Mus musculus: one gene and its partners. The protein of the gene in region 1 interacts with the protein of each later gene in a biochemical or structural test. Links are inferred from orthologs where the notes say so. Each region holds a gene or a part of one and is shown on either strand. Other genes may lie near its edges.

The links. The genes of interacting proteins can lie anywhere in the genome.
Region 2: the proteins of Ptpn11 (region 1) and Sirpa form a complex in vitro, tested with the Homo sapiens proteins (2 studies listed by BioGRID). The link is inferred for Mus musculus from reciprocal best matches to the Homo sapiens genes PTPN11 and SIRPA.
Region 3: the proteins of Ptpn11 (region 1) and Pecam1 form a complex in vitro, tested with the Homo sapiens proteins (4 studies listed by BioGRID, with this or other methods). The link is inferred for Mus musculus from reciprocal best matches to the Homo sapiens genes PTPN11 and PECAM1.

What each region holds. Positions count from the first base shown.
Region 1 is NC_000071.6:121,135,813-121,139,461, forward strand, and holds part of Ptpn11 (tyrosine-protein phosphatase non-receptor type 11), read right to left. Parts: intron 1,718-3,649; coding exon 1,605-1,717; intron 1-1,604. UniProt on the Homo sapiens protein: Acts downstream of various receptor and cytoplasmic protein tyrosine kinases to participate in the signal transduction from the cell surface to the nucleus. Positively regulates MAPK signal transduction pathway. Dephosphorylates GAB1, ARHGAP35 and EGFR.
Region 2 is NC_000068.7:129,627,315-129,630,963, reverse strand, and holds part of Sirpa (tyrosine-protein phosphatase non-receptor type substrate 1 isoform 1 precursor), read right to left. Parts: intron 3,019-3,649; coding exon 2,979-3,018; coding exon of another isoform or gene 2,967-2,978; intron 1,038-2,966; coding exon 780-1,037; 3' UTR 1-779. UniProt on the Homo sapiens protein: Immunoglobulin-like cell surface receptor for CD47. Acts as docking protein and induces translocation of PTPN6, PTPN11 and other binding partners from the cytosol to the plasma membrane.
Region 3 is NC_000077.6:106,684,157-106,687,805, forward strand, and holds part of Pecam1 (platelet endothelial cell adhesion molecule isoform 3 precursor), read right to left. Parts: intron 1,093-3,649; coding exon 805-1,092; intron 180-804; coding exon 72-179; intron 1-71. UniProt on the Homo sapiens protein: Cell adhesion molecule which is required for leukocyte transendothelial migration (TEM) under most inflammatory conditions.

The DNA of each region.
Region 1 (3,649 bases):
ATGTAAGCCTGAGCCCTTGCAGACATCAAGCATTGAGGTGACAGGAGGAACAGAGTGAGGTCACAGCAGACCTCAATCCTATCCTGGCCAAACAGCCCTGGAAACTGTCAGTTAAGTTGCAGGGACCTGGGTCTCCCAGAATGTGAATGTGGTTTCTACTGGAGTCCTGCTGCTCCCAGGAGCCTTCAGTGGCAGGCTATAGAGCGCCAGCTCAGAGAACTGGGGTGTTTCACCCCAACATGGCCTAAGACACTTTGACGTCACGAGTTGTAAGCAGGCTGTCTAACAGACACAGAGAATGATGTAGACAGGCATGGCCACACCGCTGGTTACATACTCTACCACCTGAGCCCTCCAAGCCGCTGCTGCACAGGGTTGTTGTCGGTGACAACAGTGAGCACCAGGGATTATTTTCCATTTTTTGTCCTAAGTTCAGTCCTACTTGGAGTCTGACTAATAGGGCCTGGGCCCTTTCTGCTTCTAAGTGGGTCTCTAGTTGAACTCACATGCTGGAAATGTCACACTTTTCTGTCACAGATGTACAAACCGTTAAGATGGCATCATACTGAATGCCTCTGGAACACAATCTTTCCTGAGATCTGAGCACTTCCATAAGAGGCAATCTCCAAGTTCAAGGTCAGAAATTTTAGTGTGTTCAGAAGGCTCTGGCTGCAGTTTGGGGCAAGCTGTCCTGTGGAGCTGAACCAATGTGCTTGAACCACCACTATATAACAGCCGTTCCTTAAAAACTGTCCTCACCACCACTGGACACCCCCTGCTGGTACTGCTTGGTGGCTCTGCTTGGTGGAAAGAACTTTGAAGCCGGGCGTTGGGGGCACATACCTTTAATCCCAGCACTTGGGAGGCAGAGGCAGGTGGATTTCTGGGTTCGAGGCCAGCCTGGTCTACAAAGTGAGTTCCAGGACAGCCAGGGCTATACAGAGAAACCCTGTCTCGAACCCCCCCCCAAAAAAAAAAAAAAGAACTTTGAGCTTTCCCTTCGTGTTTGCTGGCCACCAAGGAAAATGAGCCTCTCCTGCATGTCCGTAAGCCACCTGCAGCTTCTTTTACAGCACACCCATTCGTAATTGCTCGCCATTTCCTACTGGGATAGCTGTCCCCATGCAACTGTTGGCTTGTCAGGTTTTTGGGGTTGTTTGTTTGTTTGTCTTAAATAAGAACTCCTTTAAAAAGCAAAGCTAGCCTATGGGCTCTGGCTTTCTGACCCTTGGTTTAAAAACCCTGACTGACAGGAAGATTGGCAGATCATAGTCATGTCCACACATGAACAGAGAGTTTATTTATTCTTAAGAGTCTCCACACTGTAAGGGACAGCGCTTCCCACTGAAATAATGCTCCCTGCAAAAGGAAAATTAGATTTTCCCCAGAGAACCCTACCTAACATGCCCAGGGCCCCACAGGATCCTGGAGAGCCCATCACGTGCCTACTGGTTAGGGGCCCTGCAACCATGAGCCCTAGAGAGTCCCTGGACCCCACCGCCCCATGCACCATCAGTGGGCAGCAAGCAAGCCTGAGGAGAATACTGCAAGCAACTGCTGTTAAGCTTCTACCAGACCTACGCTGCCGCCGTATCGCTACTTACTCTGCACAGGGTGGCGTTGGGGTGCAGGGTGGCAGGGGACTCTGATCACCACTTGTCTGGTCCACCAAGGAATACTTAATATTGGTATATTCATGTCCTTTTCTTTTGCTTTTCTGAAAGTTAAGGAAAAAAAAATACAAGTAAGGAGGACTGTGGATATGATTTTTAGAAAAATACAGAAACAAAAAAGCTATTTTATCAAAAGAAAAAAAAAGAGGCAGATGGACAGGCTAGACTCTTTTTTTTTTTTTTAAGATTTACTTATTTTTATTTATATGAGCACACTGTAGCTATCTTCAGACACACCAGAAGAAGGCATCAGATCCCATTACAGATGGTCGTGAGCCACCATGTGGTTGCTGGGAATTGAACTCAGGACCTCTGGAAGAGCAGTCAGTGCTCTTAACTGCTAAGCCATCTCTCCAGCCCACAGGCCAGACTCTTAAGAACACTAACATGCTGACTAAATGGTTAGGAGCTCACGGCACCTGCAGGAGGAGTGTGCTGCAACCACAACCCTCAGAGCCCCCAGAGCTGCAAGGAACTGCTGACTGACACAGGCTAGAGGCACTACTCCTGCTTCAGCACAGAGCTCTATCACTGTGTGCAAGGATGGAAGGCACAGTAATGCACTTTATGTATTTAGCAGTATTGGCGATGGCACCCAGAGCCCTCCCACAATGTTGAGATGTGCTCAGCCATCTCAACCACAGCACCCTAAGATGAAATGGTAGGGGAAGGAAACCAACAGAGCAAACAACAGGAATGTAATCTCATCTCACCATGTATAAAGGCTCACACATGCCATGTGTGTAGAGAGCAGACAGCCCTGCAGAGTCGGCTCTCCATGCAGTGAATATCCATAACAATGCACCTGTACTGCACATGTGCAGACTTCCCTATGTTCAAGGCCTTCCTGGGCTACATGAAGACCACAGGAGGAATGAGTAGTTCTTATTCAAGGAACATGAGAATCTACAGGCTTCATGTCTAAGACCAAGTGCCCTGGGATGCTTAGGCATGGGTACACTATGTGAAGAGTCAATGGCCACTGCACACTATCCATGGATGTGCTCCCAGAGCACAGACAACAAATCCAATCAAAGTGAGGCTCCTGCGTGGCCACCCTCTTCACTCTGGACACCTTCCATTCTGGGAGACTGAGCAGCAAGGAGAGGGAGCTGTGCACATCCCCATCCCAGAACTGGGGAGGAGGGGGCAGGAAGAACAGGATTCTAACCTGCAGTGGTTATTCCTGGTTGTCAACTTGACCATATGAAATGAATGAACTCCAATCCAGAATTGGAAGGCTCACCAAGCATCCCGACTTCTACAAACTGTGATTAGGGCAGGGGCTGTTGGGGACTGTGGCAGGAGGGAGACACTGACCACAGTACATATCTTCAGACATAACATCTTCCACGGGCTCTGGAAGCCTCATGCCCAGCACTGGACTGGACAAGGTAGAGCAAACTTGAACTCTGCTGAGAGTAGACTCCACCACCTCAGCATGCACTGTGGGGTGCTGGGCACACTAACCAACTAACCATGACAATCATCCCATAGCATTTCCACACACAAAATACACTGTACACTCTCAATACATAGACACAGTATTTTTGTTTTGAGGCAGAGTCTCATTATATAGCCCTGACTGGCCTGGAACTCACAGAAATCCCCCTGCCTCTGTGTCTCTGCACTATAGGAATTAAAGGCATGTGCCACCATGCCCAGCTAGCCTTGATTCTGTAAGTTCCCAGTGAAGAAACCTCACCATCATCTTCTCAAGAGGCAGAGCTGACCTGACTGTCCTGAATCAACTTAGCCCTAAGGTACTGGAGTGGTGCAGAAGGGCCTGGCACAGCACAGCCTGAGTCTCAGCTGCAGGGTGCAACTGACAGCTCCTGGAATGTCCCAAGTATGGAGCAAGAGCAATAGTATGACATAGAAACTATTCCAGATGAAAGACAGGAAACAAACATGAATGCTATACACACCATGTGACCCTGACCACAGCAAGACAAACTGGAAAAATCTGAATGTGG
Region 2 (3,649 bases), on another chromosome or scaffold:
TTTTAAGGGAAAGAAAAAAAATCAAAAAAGAAAAAGAAATTAAAAAGAAAAGAAACCCAACAACAACTAAACAGCATAAATCAAATTTTCTAACACCTTAGCTTTAAGACTGCACAGTTCACATTTCTCAATAATTTACAGGCGTCCACAGAGCGATGCTGCTGAGTTAGTGCTAGCTGGAGGAAGCAAGCTGGGACTGGAAGGGAGGTGGGGCCACACTGAACATGCCCAGGGAGTCTCTGCTGGTCTAGGAGGAGAGGGTTCCTTCTCCCCAGGGCTAGTCAGCCTGGGAGGTGGGGAGGCCAGCACTGTTGGCTGAAAACTTGCTGACTTCTGGTGTAGTTCTTCCACAGATGGGGCGGTTTGATCTAAAGGGAGTCTGGTCCCAAAGCTCAAGTTGGGTAGAGATGGTGAGCTCTTCTCCACACAGAAGACCAAGCTCTGGAACATCAAGGACGCAACCTGGGGTTGCCAAGACCAGGATCCAGACCCACGAGTGATGGGCCGAGGCACAACACTTCTTGGATTCCAGGCAGCTTTCTCCAGTTCGCCCTCTGGTTCTGCAACACCCAGCCTCCGGAAGAAGGGGACGTGGGTGCCCAAGAGGTGTTGAAGAGCCACGGAGGGAAGACAAAGGCCACCCTTACCCCTGGTCCTAGGACCCGTGCCACCTGGCCTTCTGGGGACAGGATTGGCTGGCTGGATGTCCTCGTCATGGCCACTCCATGTAGGACAAGAAAACTTGTGGGGATGGGGCCTAGTACAGACCACAGCCCCATTCACTTCCTCTGGACCTGGACACTAGCATACTCTGAGAAAGATGGCTCAGGCTTGGGGGCTGGCTGTGCCCGGCTGAGGTGGACCATGTCCAGGTCAGCATAGGTGAGGGTATCCTCTGGCCTAGGCACTTTGCCTGTCTCAATGCTTGCATATTCTGTGTGGTTGTTAGGCTCAGGGGCCCGGGGTGCGGGCTTCTTCTCTTTGGGCAGATTCAGGTCTGCGTATGTGATGTCGTTGATGTCATTTGTGTCCTGGATCTAAAAGACACAGAGAGAAAGTCATTCTGGAGCCCCAGCCTATTGACCCACCAACTGGCAACAAAATCGGCCCACTTCTTTCCCAGTGGGCTCAGCCTTCACTCTGCCAATGGTATCCCATTTCCAGCCTTTCTTCTTCCAATCCACCTTCCTCCTCACAGAGCCCAAAGGGTCTTCTGAAACACTCGGGTGGTTATCACATGTCCCTTTCCAGTCCCAGCTTGCTTCCTCCAGGTTCATGTCACCTCCTTCTTTCTGGGTGGAACCACCTGAAGCTATCCCCTCCCCCTTCCCATATCTTTTCCTTGTCCTGGATCACCCACTCTCACCTCTCCCACATAAGAGACCCCAGTGAACCATGTACAATTCTGCTCTAGCACTGCTCTACCCTAAGATACTTCTTGGTCCTCAATACCTCTGGCTGGACCCAGAGCTCCTCTGAGCAATTCAGTTCACATCTCCCTAGCATAGCATCTACCACCAAAGACTATGTTTGTTTTGCAACCTTAGCAAATGTGATCTCCCACAAGATAGGGAACACCTCTTCGTTTACATGTTTATTTCACAACATTTCTTTTTTCGTTAACTGGGCATTTGTTATACTGCAGACAACAAGGCTAGCACAGAGGCCCAGTCCATGGTGACAGGATGGATGGATGGATGGAAAGACAGACAGATGGGAGGATGGTTGGGTAGATGGCTAGACGGAGAGATGGATGCAATCACATAGTCAGAAGTCATTACACAAAGGCTTGATGACAACGCTACTCAGGAAGAGTGACTGACCCTATTTTACAGGTAAAAATGGTGACCTAGGGAGCAGATATAAATTCAGTGATTTGGTCTAAGTTCACTCAGCTGAGGAAAAGAAATGAAGCCTGTTGGAGCCTAACATGGTGAACTTCCCACACTGTGGTACCTCTACCCTGAGGCCTGCTGTCGGGGAAATCATGGAGACTGAACTGGTCTCCCTCCCTGGCAAGATACTAAGGCTGATATTGGGGGCCAGGGCCTGACATGTATTTGCACACTCAGTAAGTCTTGGAATGTGAATTTCTACAGGCTTCACTAACCAAGTCTTTTACCCAGAAGATTCCAGAAGGAAGCACAGAAACAAAATAACAGGGGGCAAGAACTCTGGTTGCCATGACTAGAAATGGTCTCATATTTGCTAATTACTGCTTAGCTCATGCCTAAGGCTGGTACGGGCTGGCACAACAAGATGTCTGGCTTACAAATCCCACACCTCTCCAAGCCTGGCCCCGTCAGCAGGTTATGTCTAAAGTGGTGTCAACTGCTTTGGAAATAGCAGGAAAGCTGAGGCTTTCGTTCCAGGTTCAGGACTGGGTTTGTCTTGTTTTACAAGGCTCTGAGGAACCCTGTGTCCCCAGAGGTGACACTGTTGGACAGAGACAACAGGGCTCAGGGATCTGGGAAATAAACGAATTAATACTGCCTATGAAATCTCCTCAACGATGAACAGGGAGAAGCTACCAGGTCCAGGACATCTTGTCATCCATCCAGGTCACTGGTGACACAGGGTTTTTCCTCCTCCTCCTCCTCCACAAAGGTGAGAGAGGCCATGACAGGCAGGGAAGAGTAAGGTGAGCTGACGATGGCTCCCAGTGGTAGAACTGGCTAGAGCAGGGGCCCAGAAGCAGGAATGTGCAGCAACAAAGGAAGCTGGAATCTGACTCTGGGTATCGTTTACGTGGGACACTGGTACCCCATGTTATGCAATGATTCACAACGAACCCAGGAGCCCCAGACTCTCCAGCTGGAGCTGGAGAAGGATGCAGAGGACTCATGGGTGACTCAGTAATGCACAGCTCCTCCTCCCTAGCCCAGAGACTTAATTTAGAACTGGATCCGCAACTCCGGTTGAAGCAAGGAAATCACACCCCGAGTTTCCCAGGAAGGGCAGCTCACCAAAGACTGTACCTGGGTTATTTCCCTGGCGTTCTTCTCGGGCTCGTGCAACCTGAAATGGAAAGAGACTCAGATAAAAATATCTATCTGAAGAGCTTATGCAAATCAACCAGAACCACATTCGGGACCTGCTTCCTACGTGAGCGGAGGAGGGACCGTAAGCGCTTATCAAACGTCTGGACACAGGAGCCAGGCTCACTGAGGGAATTCTAAACAAAGCACACGGGCTTTTTGAAAAGCTTCTGTTGGAAGGATCTCTAGAAATGATAGTGCTGGAAAGGCCCACGGTAGGGAGGGTGGGATGAAGAGGACTTCCACCCGCTGCCGTGGGGACAAACCAGGCCAACCCTTCCTGGAGGTGGTGGACAAATCACGAACAAGGATAATGCTCCATCTTTTGAATCATAACTGCACCTTTTGGGGGGATTGAATATACAGAGGCCTGCGCCCTGGACAAGATACAGAAATAAGTTTATGTCCTGGGGCATAAACTGTCCGATGGGCAGTGGGTTTTTTTTTTTGTTGTTTTGTTTTGTTTTTGATTTTTTTTGAAATTAGCATAAACTAAACTCTTCTGTGTTCAAAAAGTAGATGAGAAGTTTCCATTTTATTTTTGTGGTGCTGGGGACAGGGTTCAGTGCCTTGTTCATGCTAATAGAGTGGCATGTCTGAGTCACTGAGTA
Region 3 (3,649 bases), on another chromosome or scaffold:
ATGCATGGTGCTCCCTTAGCCTCCTCCAGGATGCAGTTCCCTGGAAACCCAGGCTGCAGACAGGCACTCACCCTTGGCTTTCCTCAGGAAGTAGCATTTGGCTGCAACTATTAAGGTGGCGATGACCACTCCAATGACAACCACCGCAATGAGCCCTTTCTTCCATGGGGCAAGGAAGACTGGAAGTCGGGTAGAAAGAAAGGAAACACATGTTTTCCTCCCACCAGCAAGAAATGGCAGCAGATTTAAGCAGCAACTCAGACCCCATTTTGCGATCCTTAAAAATGGCATTTTGCTTTGGTGTCTGCCCATGAGGGCTTCTGTACTCAGCCTGGGTGGAAATGGTGGCTTCTGCTAGAAACCAAGGTCAACTACAGTCTTCAAGGAGGTACCAAGCTAATTTTGTAGAGGTGTTGTTCCATTTGGGGTGGCCCTCCATCTCTACAGGACTCTCTCATTCAAGCACACAGCTAGAATCCTATCAACACATCTATGTTGGATACAGGTCGTTCATGGATAGACATTTAACCCACAGTATGCGTCAACTGTCAACTGGTATCTCTCTATCGGATACTTAGAATTGGGACTGGATAAAACATTTTCAGATTATATATAAATAGAATCATCTCTTTTTCTGCTCAAGCTACTATGAGTGGGTTTCTGCTAATTGTAACTAATCAGACACCGGTCTCTTAGCTCTCCCAAATGAGCTAGTCTCCACTCCTCTCCCTTTTACAAGGAATTCGTGCTTTCTGACCCTCGGAAGCCCCCCACACTGATGCTCTGGTGGGGGTGTGGACTCACCTCTGACTGCAAGAGTGCTGCTTCGGGGACTGGTCCTCATACTGCTGGCTCTGTTGGAGGCTGTACAGTAGTACTGTCCTTCCTGCTTCTTGCTAGCTTGTTTGTTGTGCCAAAACGCTTGGGTGTCATTCACGACCGCTTGGTGGAAGGGTCTGTCCTCCTTTTCTTTGTAAAACTGAAACGTGATTGGGCTCGTCCCCTCTTTCACAGAGCACCGAAGTACCATTTCACTTCCAGACTGTACCTCGTTACTCGACAGGATGGAAATCACAACTTCATCCACTGGGGCTGGAAAGCAGGCCAAGGATTAGCCCCGAGCAGAGAGGGGAGAGAAGCAAGTAAGAGGTGCACAGCCGCAATCCCCGTACTTGGGAGATGCATGCAGAAGGAGCTCATGTTCCAAGCCAGGATACGACACAGAGATCCAGTCACAAAGAACCCAAGAGGGAGAAGAAGGGAGTTGAACAGAGAGGGAACACAGAATGGCCACTGCTTCTTATCTGCTTCTCTTCCAGCCTAGGATTTCAATCCTCTTCTCTCCACTTCCACTGATTAGACCAGAAGGACAGCAACAGACACCTCCTGTCCCCATTCACTGATAAAACACAAGATGCTAGGGACACTCACCATCTTCGCACCTTGAGCAAGACTGGCCACTCAACTGAATGACAAGATTAACTTGTGCTCTGTCTTGGAGTTTTGAGTACATGTGCACATGTATGTGTGTATGTGTGTAGGTGTACATGTGTGTTTGTGTGTGTGTTCATCTCTGCCTTTCTGCTTACAATGATGTGTGGCACATGGACTGGAGAGATGCCTAAGTGGTTAGGAGCACCGGCAGCTCTTCCAGAGAACCCCACCAAGGTTCAAGTCCCAGCAACCACATGGCTGTTCACAACTGTCTGCAACTCCAGTTTCAGAGGATCGGACACCCTCACATAGATAACCATTCATGGAAAACACCAGTGCACATCAGATAAATAAATAAGAATTTTAAAGGGTGTGTGGCGATTACCCCTGTTTTTTTCCTCTTCCTGTGTGCTTTTAAAGCCTCCTCTCTCATTGGTTTGCTCTCCCTCAAGTTCGCCTTCCAACCACCTGGTTTTGTTATTCTTGTTTGCTATTGCCCTTGTTCATTCACCTGTTGTGAGACAAGGTTTCACTACGTAACTCTGGCTGGCCTTGAACTCACAGAGATCTGTCTGCCTCCACCTCTTAAGCGCTGGGATTAAAGGTATGCATAACCATGTTTGTTTTGTATTGAGACCAGGTCTCATAGAGCTGGCCATGAACTCCAGATGTTAGCCTCCAAAATCCTGGGATTACAGGTATGTACCAACATCTGTAGCTACCCATCTGCTTTTGAAACTGCATTGCTATTTCTAGTTTCAAAGATGCTGGAAAATTTCCTTGATCCTAAGACCATGATCCTAAAGAGAAAATTCAGTGGAGGAAGTTTTAACCATTCTTAACCTGGTTTTCCAGTCTTGGCCTCCAATAGCCTGAATATCACCCGGTCCCTGTTGACCTGGCTTCACTATCTGAGCTGCCTCTGAAGCAGATTCTCCTCCCTTGCTATCTGCCTGCCTTCTTCACTACTTATTTTGGCAATGAAATATGGGTTTGGATTTTCTGAAAAGTTGGTCCTAAGTCTTCCAACTCCACTCTACACACACACACACACACACACACACACACACGTATGTGTGTGTATATATATGTGTGTGTATATACGTGTATCTATCTATCTATCTATCTATCTATATATATATATACACATATATATATATATACATATATACACACACACACACATTGTTTTTTACTTATTTTTTTTACTTATTTATTCTGTGCATGGGTGTGTTAGTGGAACTCCGAGAACAATTTGCAGGAATCTGTCTTTCCACCAAGTAAGGTCCAGGGTATTGAACTCAGGTCATTAGGCTGGGCCATCTCACCAGCCCCTCCATCTTCACTTAGAGACTTTACTTCCACACTCAGCTTTTATTTCTGAGCACTGAAACCTAAACAGAAGTTTCCTGTCCAGACAGCTTCCCGGAACTTCATGGTTTCCTTCCCACCTGGAAGCTCAGAGAGGCAAATCCACTGTGCCCCCACTGTGCCACCTTCCCTCAGCAACATTCCTAACCATTCAAATTCTGGTCCTATGTCACCATTCCAGGCCACCTTCCCTACTAGTGACACACAGACACATGTCACCTCTCTGAGCACAAAGGGCGTATGATCTTGAAGGAAGCTGAGCATCAGGCCTGGGATGGCAGTGGTCCCACACAGGGGCAGACAGCCTGAGCACACTGCTAGACCTGACAGTCTCTCCCCCCGGGAAGTACAAGAGGCTAGTGGTGAGTTGGTCTCAGGAGCCACACTGCCTGGGTTCAAATCCCAGTCCTACCTATCGTGCCTTAGCTCTAAGTCTTAGTGAGTTCACTTATGAGTCTCATGTGCTATTTTAAATATTACTAGGGATAATTTACCACAGTGCTTCACCCAGGGCTGGGCACATGGGAAGGGCTCAGTAAATGCTCGTCACTAGCACTGACCCAATTTCAACTCGGGTTTCCTCTTCCTCTTCTTCTGTGGTCTTTTTGAGACAAGTTTTCTCTGTGTCGTGGCCGCCCTGGAACTTACTTTATAGACCAGTCTGGCCTCGAACTCAGAGATCCACCTGCATCTGCCTCCCGAGTGTTGGGATTAAAGGAGTACGCCACCACCGCCTGGACGAATTTATTATTAATTAACATCTGGAGATCTGAAGTCTTCACTCTTCAACAACAGCCTGAATGCATAACAACCATGTCCATATTATGCCCCTCCTCAGACCAGT